2 linked regions of the Caenorhabditis elegans genome follow. The protein of the gene in region 1 interacts with the protein of each later gene in a pairwise test. Each region holds a gene or a part of one and is shown in the gene's direction. Other genes may lie near its edges.

Region 1 (8,036 bases):
GGGGGGGGGGGGTGAAGAACAGTACAACAACAACCAACCCTAATAATATCATAGTTATATTATTATTTGATTGTTCCTAATTTTGTATACATTCGAGATTTTCCGAAAAAAATTTTTTTGAGCATAGTTTGAAGCGCCTATAAATGTGCCAATTTGCAAGATATCAAAAAATTATTAACTAGTGATTTATAGTACTAAAATTTTGCTACATTTCATCAGTTGAAAAATTTTTGATAGATATTTTAGTTTTGGAGATATACGAGTTTTAAAATTGTAGATTAAAAAAAATTGAAATTTTTTTTGAGCAAATTTTGAAGCCATTTTAACTTTGCCAATTTGCAAGCTATCAAAAAGTAGTTCACTAGTAAATTATAGAACTAAAATTTTACTACATTTTATTAGTTAAAAAGTTTCTGACAGCTGTTTTAGTTTTGGAGATACATGAGTTTTAAAATTGTAGATTTAAAAAATTTGAAAAACATTTTTCAAAATTTTCAAACCCCTGTAATTCTGAAACTATGAGACTTGTCAAAAAGTTGCCAACTAACAAAATTTAGCAAATTTCTTGTCAATTAATTTTTTAGTTGACAATTTTTTCTATGTTCATTTATTTTGAAGCTAGAGAGCCACAACTATATAGAATTTTATTTTTTTGAATCAATTTTCTCCAACTTTTCAAGTATTTTACGCATTATTCATACCTTAAAAGTGACATTTATTACGAAAAAGTGATAAGGGGGTACCCTATGGCAAACATGTACTCCTCCTCCTCACTCACGTTCCGTTTTTGCTCTCACTTTATTTGCTCTCTGTCTTTGCTTTTTCTTGTGTTTTTTTTTTGTGAATTTTGCTCCGTTTTCCGCTAGTTTTCCTTTTCGACTACCGAAAAAGAGCATTTTCGGTGATAAAAAATTACTTTGCAAAATTTTGCTAAACTAGAAAAAAACATTTTGTGAGGGAATTTTTTGCTGAAAAATATGAAGTTTCTTAAAACAAGAAAAGCTTTTAAAATCTATTAAAACTTTAAGTTTTTTTAAAAATCATTTTTAAATTTTATAAATATAAAATTATTTAATTTTTAACCACCTTTTCGAAACATTGATATCTTTAACTATTATCATATTTTCAACAAATTTTTCATATTTTGTTAAATTGTAAAAATAAAATTTAAAATATGATAATAGGAAAAGATTTCAACGTTTCAAAAATGTGGTTAAAAATGAAAATTAAAAAAAAATCTTAAATTTGTTTTACTGTTACATCTTTAAAAACTACAAAATTTATTTCAAAATTTATTTTTGAAAATTGTTTAAACTAAGCAAATTTAAAAAAGTTTTAAATCACTCCAACTTCAAAAAAAATTAAAAATTGTTGTGGTTTTTTTTATTTTTAGTTTGAACTTCCATATTTCAAAAACTACTGAATTAATTAAAAAGTTGTCAACTAACAAAATAAAGGAAATTTTTTGCTTAACATTTTGTAAATTGACAACTTTTTGATAACTTTTCACAAATTTGAGGTATGGTAGTTTTTTCTTTTATAACTTTTTATTGGTGGCAGCTATCAAAAAGTTGGCAACTAAAAAAATGGTGCAAATGTTATGCTTAACATTTTGATAGTTGACAATTTTTAAAAATCTTCAGTTTCCCAGAAGTTATGCCACTTTTTCTCTCCCCCCCCCCCTCCTCGAGTTCTTCCTTGTTTTCATCTATTTTCGGCCCTTTTTCCAAAATTCATTGGATTGATTCTTTCCAATGTTTTTCAATGTTTTTTTCATGGTGTTCGGTTTTAGGATTTTAATTGAAAACACACACCCTGGTGTCTATTTTGTCTATTTTCCCGAAAAAAAAATCCGAAAATAAAATTTTCCCCCTTCTTTCTGTCTCGACGCTCTATAAATTCAATTTCCCTCTTTTTTTCTCACTTTTTCTATTTTTTTTTCACTACTGTACAGCTCTTTAAACTGCGGTTATTTTTGGAAATTTCAGCTAATTTCAAGATTTTTTTTCAGTGTCATATTCTTCCCATGCGGAGCAAATTGTACAAAACATGAAAATTGAAGGTTGGTTTTGATTTTTTTAATTTAGAAAATGCTAATTTTAATTAAAAATACATATGTATGCTGGTTACTAAAAAAATTTCAAAAAAATTTTCCAATTTTCAAAAAAAAAATTTTTTCGAGATTTTTTCAAACTTTCATATCTCCAAAACTACGAGAGCTATTAAAATGTTGCCAACTATCAAAACATAGAAAATTGTGTGATAAACATTTTCATCGTTGACAAAATTTTGATAGCCTTGCTCTCCGCAGAGTTAGAGGAGCCTGAAGTTTGTTGGTACTGCGTTCAGGCTGACTGGAATCTTATAGGGTAACAACTATAGGTTTTAAGGTACTTTTACAGTAAAAATTAATAAAATATTGCTCTTTACAATGTCATAAGTAAAATTTAGAAAAAAACCACAATTTTGAACATTTGAAAGTTTTTGACCAAAAATGTTTTTTTTTCTCAAAAAACATATTTCTCCAAAATTTCTAAAATTTTGCTCACAATCAGACTTTAAATTTCATCCAAATCTATTCCAAACTCTCTAACTATGCCAATTGATGACGTAAACTCTAACCCAAGCTTCTGGGGTGGAAAAGTAATTAAATTTTAGTATTGTGGTGCACCCGCCTGGAAATTGGAAATTGGATGTGTTCCATGCTCCTCTAAGAGAAAAGAGGGCCGTAAAAATAAAAGTACAAATGTATTCCCAAAGGGTTTGTCTAAATTTGGAGGAGAAAAAAAAAATTTGTTCGAATCTCAAAATATAAAATTTCCAATTATAAATTAAAAATTTGCACTTTTGGATTAGTATATATTGAAAATTTCAGAGCCGTAGCTTAACTTTGCACTGAGTTATAAGGCTTCAAAGTATCTAGTTCAACCGCGACGCAACCGCGCCGCACCTACTTAACTTCAAAGCCCTGTAACTCAGCTCAAAATTGACCTACAGCTTTGAAATTTTTTCTCAGAGCTGATTTTAAATTAAGCTTTCATTATCGTTAGCAACCAATTCATTGGGCCGCGACGCAACCGCGTCGCTTCAACCAAATTTTGAAACTCCTTAACATATAGCAACCTTTCCCATTTTTCAGTGGTATCGGCACTACCGCACTCGACGGTCCATTCGGCAGTCCTTTCGCGTCGACACCGCTCCGTCATCTGCGCGGGACCATACGAAGTGCTTCCACTGGAGGGGTGTTCTGAGCCGGTAAGTGTTCTTTTTGTAGTCCAGGGCCATCTGCTTATAATGAGTGGGACCACATGTTGCGAGTCTCTTTCCAGAGCAATTATTCATTGTTTTGGGGCGTTTTTGGGGTCAGACGGATATAAAAGGATTATCCAGATTTTTAAAAAATCTTACATTGTTCACAGTTTGCAGTCAAACTTTGGAAAAAACCTAAATTACAGTGTCAAAAAATTTCAGAGCTCTCGGTCTTTTGAGAGCTAAGATATGAAGCTTTAGAATTTTGACCAGGCGTTGCGGTCGCGTCGCGGCCACCTCCTAAACTTTAAAGCTTGATAAATTTGCTCACCAAGGTCCTAAAGCTCTGACATTTTTGCAGAAGCCTCAAAATTACATGTACTATTCAAATATCTAGCTTTAAACTTTTTAAGCAACAAAAAAAATTTTCGGCCACCCATTTAATTTCCTCCTCTTCCGATCTTCCCCCACCCCGTATAATCCTCTTTGTACCTAACGAGCCGTCAATAATCCCCTCGGCACTTTCGCTGCTTATCGAACCGTAGTTGTCAATTTGAGAAGTGTTACTGTCTCTGCGTCTCGCCTCTCTAATAACAAGATTCTGCCCAGCGATAAGTTTTGATCCGGAATTCTCATGGGGATGCGAACATTGAAAAAGGGTGTGAAAGGGTTCCATATCTAGATGATTGATCTGCTGGGCAGGGAATTTGAAAAGTCTTTGGGAAGGGGGAGCTGGAAAATTTTCAATAGGTTCATAACTTGACAGGAAATGTTGAAAAGAATAGCTCTAGCCGATCTAAAACTTCAGAAAAAATTTCAGAGCTCTGGCACGCTTTGGAGCATAGTTATGGTGCATCGAAAATTGGCGCATGCGGCGCGGTCGCGTCGCGGTTATCTAACTTGGCTCAAAATGGTCCTAGAGCTCTGAAATTTTTTGAGTGACTCTGTTAAGTTTACCACATTCTAATTTTCTATAAAAGCTTGAAATGTACCTATTTATACAAAAACAAATTTTTCAGCTCCCAAGCACCTCAACTCTCAGTGAGCTACCCATCGAGTGCCTCCGACTCTCCACAGATGAACGGACGATCGGTGCGGCGACAAATGCGATTCTCAAAGTTGCGGATATTATAACAGGTCACGAGGTGCGGAATCTAACGGGACACACCTTGCCAATAACCTCCCTAGCCGCTAGCAAGTTCAACCCTTACTGCTGGTACACCGGGTCATCGGATTGTGATTGGACGCAGTGGGATACTAGGATGAATCCGTCTAAAGTGAGTTGAAAAGTGCAAAAATACTATCCAAAAAGTGTCCAAGCTTCAAATCCTCTGTGATACCGAGCCGCGACGCAACCGCGACGCGTGCCCAAATTTTTATCAAAAATGGCAGATAAATACTAGATAACACTATTGGCCAAATTTCACACCTCCGACTCAATTGTGAGCAAAGCTTTGACATTTTAAAAATTGAGGTAGACCGCGACGCGACACGCGACGCACTGCCGAAATTTTATGGCACCGTAACTTTGCTCCCAGTCGTCGTAGGATTTTGAAACTTTTTGTGAAAGCATTCTCTAGAAACAGACTTTTTTATAGACTTTCAACGCGCGTTGTAAAAGAAACTTTCTAATTTTGAAGATCGACCGCGACGCGACACGCGACGCACGCCCAAAACTTCAATACCACATAACTTAGCCCATAGTGGTCCAAATTTTCTGAAACTTTTTGTAATCACCATATCTGAAATAAAGCAGTTTTTTAAAGCGTTCCCAAATTTTCTGAAACTTTTCAAAATATAATGATTTTCAGATTTTCGGGTCCAAAACCCCTGGCGTTGTTCGAAGTATCGCATTATCACCTGGTGATCGCTATGTAGCAGTTGGCACCGACGAAACTATACAGATTTTCGACGCCAGGCAGCGGGAATTTATCAAAACTTTTAACTGTTCGGTAGGTGCTTTTCACTGGAATTTCTGACCATTTTTAAAAAATCAAATTTTGCAGGGTCACGCACTAGAGCTTCACCCCAGCGATGTGCTCCTCTCCTCCGTTGGTCATGATAGGATAGTTCGGTTTTTCTGCCTAGAGACTTTTGAAATGATATCTCAATCCGATCCGTTTCTGGATGATATTCAAGCCAGCGCTTTTGATAGTAAGAATTATATTTAATTTTGGGCCAAAAACATCAAAAAATTGAATTTCAGCCCACGTCATGATAGCTGCTACCAATGATTCTATCAACCTGCTCACTTGGGAGCCCTGCTGTGATATTCTAACGACAGTACCTCTGAAAAATGTGGAGAAGGTAGGGATAGTAACTTGACAACACTTTTGGCTCACTGAAAAATGTGAGCAAAAAGTGTTGTCAGTGTGTGCTCTAGTATTAAAGATCCTGTAACTTGCGTACCAGTTGACGTAGAGTCTTCAAATTTTTAGACGACACTTGTAAGCTTTCACCCACGCGTTGCGGTTGCGTCGCGGCTTGGCCATCAAATTTCTTAGCTCTGTAACTTAGCCAACTAGTAGTCCTATAGACTTGAAACTTAGTCAAAAAGTCACATCGGAAAGCAAATTCCTATCTTATTTTCATGAATCCAAATTTCTAAAAATGTTCATTTTAAGGCATTAACCCAACATTTCAACGCCAGTTATGATTGATTATTTTTTGGCGGAGATTCCAATCTTCTTCCCTTTGTTATGAATTCCATGCCATTTCAGGTCGTCAACGTGAATGCAAACGGTCTGGATTTAGACTTTATTTGCATTGGAGACAACACTGAACGTCTCGAAATGCGCACCTACGCTATAGAAGAGCTGCTCTCCTATTCGCCGAGCCACGAGCTCTGCGGGAGCATTTACGAGGAGGATGAGGATGTGGATAACTCGCCGATTGATGAGGTATTAGCTTTGGGTTTGTACTTGGGGTTAATGTAGGAATTTTCCAGGTAAAAGCGCTACCGGAGCTCACAGAGTTATCGAATTTGCCGCCGAGGTCGCCTGGCTTGTCATGTGAAGAGACGGAGACGTCAGCGTCACCTGTGAATAGTAGCAGCAGCCATTCTAGCCCGACTAGTCCCGTTAAGGTAAGAATAAATTTTTGTCAGAGGCCCATATCTTAAGTACGGACTGCTTCTGGGCCAGTTTAAAAGGCTTCCGAGTCTCATTTTATTGGCCTAAAAACTCGTAAGCTGTCTCAAGTCGTTAGTCTCAATTGCAATTTTCCAGTTTTAGACCAAAGTCTGTATCTAAGTTCAATCCCCTCAATCTTCCTCACAAGACAGTCTTTGAGCTTTGTAAAACCTAAAAGAGCTCTCCATATATTTTCAAACCCTCTAGGGAGTTCCCTCTCCCCTGCTCCAACAGCCGCAGCTTGACATCCAACCTCTTAAATCTTACAGCCAGCTCCCGTCAAACACCGATCGGCATCTCAGAAGCTTCCTGGAAAATCGACCAAGACCCTGAACCCAAAACCAGCGGGGTCCACACGCTCTGTGACCCCAGTCTCCACAAAGCCACCTCGAACATTTGGCACCGCAAAGAGTGTGATTGTCTCGTCGAAGCCATCACTAAGCGGGTACAATAACCGCGCGAATCCGTCGCCTTCTATGTCGGATTTGAGGACGACAAAGTCGATGGCAGGGTCTACGACGTCTTTGTTGAGTGAGAGGGCTCCGAAGAAGCGGTCAACGTCGAGCCGGTAAGCAGGACTAGAGGAAGTAAAGTTTCAAAACTCTAAAACTTTCCAATTTTCCAGCCGTAACCAAGAGCCCATCACCATCACCTACATTGGCCGCCCACGTACCCCTAGCGAAGGAGACGTCGCATCTACAGTATCCTCCTCCACATCCCGCAACCGTCGCCCATCGCCTTCCGTGGCGAAGAAGACCTCCCCTCCGTCAATCTACGCGATCACCTCTTCCCCGGCCAAGCGTGCCTCCTCCACCGCTTCAGGGCCTACTGCCAGACGCCAGAATTCCACGTCATCGGTGACCTCTACCACGTCGGCCAAGACGCCTGTAGGGGTCTGGGGAGCTTGTATAGAAACTGTACATGACATCGGGATAGTTGCGAAGAAGGAGAATAGAAGTGAGTTATTTAGGATCTAGCTTGAAGCGTTAACTACTGGAATTCAGACATCCGACGGCTCAAGATGCTTACCTCCCGTCGAACGAGCAACGTGGATATCCCTCCAGAAGTGTGCTCCGATGAGCAACTAGTGTTAACCGCCACGAGGATACTGAGCAGGAGGAACGATTGGTCATTGAACAGCTGTCATGCCTACCTTCCAGTCATAATAGGTAATCTTGCTTGGTAGTGAAGGTCGTAATGATGTTTTGAACTTTCAGACAACATAGCCAGTGTAGACGTTACAAATCGAGCTATAGCCCTGGAGGGTCTCGCAGCGATCGCTGACACCCTGGGGGAGAGGCTCGTGAAGTTTGCGTCCATGAACTCCCATAGGATAGGAGTAGATGTGGCGGCGGAGGAGAGGGCCGAGAAGGCGAAGGCATGTGTTCAGGTAGGCATCTTGTAGGGGTTTTGCCCTTATTAACCCTACAAATAATTCCAGCACCTCCGCTCCCTGGTCAAAAAACGCGACTGGTACTACAAACAACTCGACGAGCCATCCATTCTCAAACTCGACCCGATTCTAGAGCTTTTAAAGAAGATCTAGCTACCTCATCTGTGATATATTGTTAAGCATTCCCACCACCACTCGCATTTTTGTTCTTTTGTCTTGTCTTTCAGTCATTTGGGTCAGAGATTTTCAGGTTTCTCTACGAA
Region 2 (4,537 bases), 5.8 Mb from region 1:
TGTGTTAGCCTGAAATAAGAATATTACGAAGTTTAAGAATTATTATATAAATGGGTCTTACTAATGCTTCGTCGACTAAGTTTTCGGGATTGAAGAATGTGAGAGCCTCAATGAATGCATCACATTCTGATCCGCCTCCATGTAGCTCCAACAGTTCAACACAATCGCTGAAATTGCAACTAAGCAAGCTGACTGCTACTCCCTTCCAATATTCTTCTGGAATCGTCTTCCCCGGATGCAGATATTCCACAGCTGATTCCATGGCTCCTCTAGAAAACGTGAAGCTCTGATTGGCCCATGAAATAAGATCCGCACATATCGAGCTATCACCTCTTCCAAACCATAATTTCTCGTAAAGTGACCACAAAGCAAAGTCTGTCATGAAGTCGGAACTGCTGTGAGACACGGCGGCATTGTAGAGAACTGAACGATAAGCTCGAGAGAATGTGCAGCAAGTAGGCGTGTCTAGAGGTGCATCAGGTGAGGAGCCTTTTTGACATTTATCAAATACAGAATACATTTCGATAACAAGTCGTCTGAGATTTGGTGTCGCAAGAATTTGTCGATTTTGTGAAACTTTCTCGACCAAGACTGTTTCTGAAAAATCTCTTATGTTGGAAACTGAAGAAGATGCAATTTTTACCTTTATTTGAAAATCCTTTTTTATCTGTTAGGAAGGCGAAGACCGTGGAGGAGTCGCTGACAGCTATCCCGAATTCTCGAGCGACATCCGTCATCTGAAAGAGATACTAATGTCATGTGAAGTGGTATTAAAAATATAGTAAGCACGGTAGAAACATTAACTTATAAAATTGAGATTTCTGATAAATAAAATTTTTCCGGGAGTTCTGTAAAACTTCTTACGGTTTTAACTTGATAATTCCATAGGGTTTAAAATTTCCTTTTGTTTCTTGAGTTTCTTCTCGGAATTTGAACAAAAATAACGCGTTTAATCTCGAATCAGTACAATGATGGACTACACGGCAGTTTTAAAAAACCAATTAATAATAATAATCCTAAAAAATGAGAAGAATATTTAAGAAAATGTAAAAGTTTTCCGCGGAATTCCGCTAAAATTCGAAAATTGAAAGTGTTCAAATTGCAAGCGATTGTGCATTCAGACGTGACAGTGTCTGGGGTGTATTGCGTACTCGACATTTTAACTGACGACACTTGTACTTTTGCGCCATACTTCCGGAGCTCCAGCTCCGCGGAGCCCTGAGCAATTATTTTTTTACTTTTTATGAAAAGCTTTCTATAGATATCTTTTAAGAAGTTACACTATAATTGTGCAAATCAAACTGGCTCCGGACAACACAAATTTCGTCTATACCTTTATGATCTTTTTTTGTTAAACAAGTGAAACAATTATTTCCTTTTCAAACTGCTCTTGTTTCTTCTCTTTATTAATCAATTTTTTTTTTTTTGCTTTGTGTAAATTAATTGTTTGTCGCGGATGAGCTAATTCTGAGGTTTGACCAGCAGAAATCTGTTTTCTGAAAAATCAATAACTCGCCGCTTAATTTTGGTTTTATTCAAGTGATATGCAATTAGAAGGTTCTAATCATTTATATCTCGCTGAAAGATCTCAGATTTCAAGCCTTTTGCTAAGGATTTAATTCCTAAAACTTTTTTTGACCTATCATTTTTTGTGTGATCTACCGCTGTAAATACTTGTTGTTTTGCGGCTAAACTCTTTCAATGTTTCCAACAAGTGAGCCAATATCAAGTAAAAAAAGAAAAATCGTTTTCTATTCAACCATTTTATTCTGTAAATAATATTAAATTCATCTTCACGGTACAATCTTCTTCTCCCATCTAATAAAGTCCACGCACACTCCGTTCCGTCGTTTCCCTATTCGTTATCATTCATCATCTTGCCATTTTCTTCTCCGCCAAATCCCATTGTCTTATACTAAATTTCATCCTCTCGTCTGTAGAAGTGTATATTATTGAAAAATTAAAGTATATTTTCAGGATGAATGGGGATGTGCAGTCAGTCATTCGCGGATATCTGGAGCGAGCCCAAGTCGCGAAAACAATGTCCGATGCCGGACGATGGAATGAGGCTGGTGATCTTCTTCGTCAGCTCATGACAGATGTCAAAAGCTGTAAAATTTCGGCAAGCAACAGAGACGAGCATGACGCAAGAAATGTACGTAATATAAATCTTTTAAAAGCTTGTTGAATTATTTGAAATTTCAGACATTCCTACGAGCCCTAGAGGCTAATTTGAAGCTTGTCCAACAAAATGTGCGCGATGAAGATGACCTACACGAGGCGATGACGCGACAAAGTGGAAGTCCAGAGCCACCTGCAGACCCAGATGTTTGGTCCAAACCATCGCCACCGTTACCATCCTCATCGAAATTTGGAGCAACAAAGAAAGGAGTTGGAGCAGCAGGTCCACGTCCCAGAGAAATATCAAAGTCAACGTCGTCGATGAGCACGAATCCGGCTGATGTGAAGCCTGCGAATCCAACACAAGGAATACTGCCTCAAAATAGTGCTGGAGATTCATTCGATGCATCGGCTTATGATGCGGTAAGTTATTATGTTTTCCAGAAACAAAAATCAGAAATCTTTTCAGTACATTGTTCAAGCGGTGCGTGGTACAATGGCTACAAATACGGAAAATACAATGTCTTTAGATGATATAATCGGAATGCACGACGTGAAGCAAGTTCTGCACGAAGCCGTCACTCTTCCACTCTTGGTGCCAGAATTCTTCCAGGGTCTCCGTTCACCATGGAAAGCAATGGTTCTCGCTGGACCACCTGGAACTGGAAAGACTCTTATCGCACGTGCGATTGCTTCAGAGTCTAGTTCAACTTTTTTTACCGTTTCCTCGACTGATCTGTCCAGCAAGTGGCGTGGTGATTCCGAGAAGATTGTTCGTCTGTTATTCGAACTTGCACGGTTCTATGCTCCATCCATAATCTTCATCGATGAGATTGACACACTTGGTGGACAACGTGGAAATTCTGGAGAACACGAAGCGAGTCGGCGTGTTAAATCCGAGTTTCTGGTACAAATGGACGGGTCACAGAATAAATTCGATTCGCGACGTGTATTCGTGCTGGCCGCCACAAATATTCCATGGGAGCTCGATGAGGCACTCCGAAGACGTTTCGAAAAGCGAATCTTCATTCCACTGCCAGATATAGATGCAAGAAAGAAGCTTATCGAAAAATCAATGGAAGGAACTCCGAAATCCGATGAAATTAACTATGATGACTTGGCGGCAAGGACTGAAGGATTCTCAGGAGCTGATGTTGTGTCTCTATGCAGAACTGCTGCTATCAATGTGTTGAGAAGGTAGGTAGCAGGAATGTGCAGAAAATCTTTTTGGAAAACGTGCTTGTTTCAATAAGATAATCCAATATTTCGAATCAAAAACTGGTATAGAAATGGCAACTTTCATGCACTATTTAATGTTTTTAAACGCTTGTAGACAAAATTAAATAACATTTTAAGATGAAATGAACCGTTTTTATAAATTTCGATATCAATTTAAGATTGAAAAGTTGGATTATCATAATTAAAAAAAAGCCAATTTTGTACGTTTGCTGAAAAAATTTTGCTAATCGCGATGTTGCAACACTTTTTTCAAGAATCGACACTAAGAATCCTTAAGATATTTCAGATACGACACCAAATCATTGCGAGGCGGGGAACTGACAGCTGCAATGGAATCACTGAAAGCCGAACTCGTGAGGAACATTGACTTTGAAGCAGCTCTTCAAGCAGTTTCACCAAGTGCTGGTCCAGATACAATGCTCAAATGCAAAGAATGGTGTGACTCTTTTGGTGCCATGTAAATCAACTATTTATTGTGATCTCCTTTTAGTTTAAAATATTGTGGCCTAGCTTTGGTTTTTGAAACTCTGAAACATTGTACAGATAAAATTTTCAAGGCCACCTTCATCCAAACATCTCTCCCCGATTCACTCTTTCCTGTAAAATACTTATTGGTTAAATTTGTATGTAAAATGAATCATTTTGCCACTCACTGGATTATTTGGAAATATATAAAAGTTCATTTGTGAAAGAAATATAAGAAAAGAAGACAGTGAAAAAAAACGATACAGGAAAGAAAATAAACATCGATTAGAAAAGAAACTGAATAAAAAACCGCCCTTATGAAGGGTAACTATTAGTGGATAAGTGTTTAGGAAATTTCATGTGTGAATTTTAATTGTCTAAAAGGTTAACATTTTGGAAGAAGAAAGATCAAAAAAAAAAGAAAGCAAATTTTGTGGAACACGATTCTCTTACGGGGGATAACAAACGGAATTATGACGGTGGACTGTAAGGAAAAATTGAGAAAGATCTGTGATGGGCTGGACCACGATAAGAGGAAGTGGGGAAGGCTTTCAAATTAGAAAAATTAGACTTTTGGTTCATCTGGATTAGTTTTTGGTGGTTCCTCATCCTTCAAAAGTGGAGTATTTTCAGTTGTTAAATTCGATGTCGAAGTGTGTGGAGACGGACGAATTACCTGAAAAACAGATCGTTCAGATATTTTACTAAGTTT

Evidence for each region.
Region 2: the proteins of F47G4.4 (region 1) and mei-1 interact in a two-hybrid assay, tested with the Caenorhabditis elegans proteins (2 studies listed by BioGRID).

Annotation. Positions count from the first base shown.
Region 1 is NC_003279.8:14,062,779-14,070,814, reverse strand, and holds the start of F47G4.4 (WD_REPEATS_REGION domain-containing protein), read left to right. Parts: upstream 1-2,011; 5' UTR 2,012-2,049; coding exon 2,050-2,062; intron 2,063-3,139; coding exon 3,140-3,255; intron 3,256-4,268; coding exon 4,269-4,526; intron 4,527-5,060; coding exon 5,061-5,201; intron 5,202-5,255; coding exon 5,256-5,403; intron 5,404-5,455; coding exon 5,456-5,556; intron 5,557-5,969; coding exon 5,970-6,149; intron 6,150-6,196; coding exon 6,197-6,334; intron 6,335-6,649; coding exon 6,650-6,948; intron 6,949-7,005; coding exon 7,006-7,337; intron 7,338-7,384; coding exon 7,385-7,549; intron 7,550-7,597; coding exon 7,598-7,770; intron 7,771-7,821; coding exon 7,822-7,926; 3' UTR 7,927-8,036.
Region 2 is NC_003279.8:8,292,904-8,297,440, forward strand, and holds mei-1 (Meiotic spindle formation protein mei-1), read left to right. Parts: upstream 1-1,970; 5' UTR 1,971-1,978; coding exon 1,979-2,155; intron 2,156-2,205; coding exon 2,206-2,544; intron 2,545-2,590; coding exon 2,591-3,318; intron 3,319-3,637; coding exon 3,638-3,821; 3' UTR 3,822-4,037; downstream 4,038-4,537. Other genes in the region: npp-2 (Nuclear pore complex protein Nup85), read right to left, coding at 1-9, 62-597, 644-737; abts-1 (Anion exchange protein), read right to left, coding at 4,391-4,501. UniProt on the Caenorhabditis elegans protein: Catalytic subunit of a complex which severs microtubules in an ATP-dependent manner. Microtubule severing may promote rapid reorganization of cellular microtubule arrays.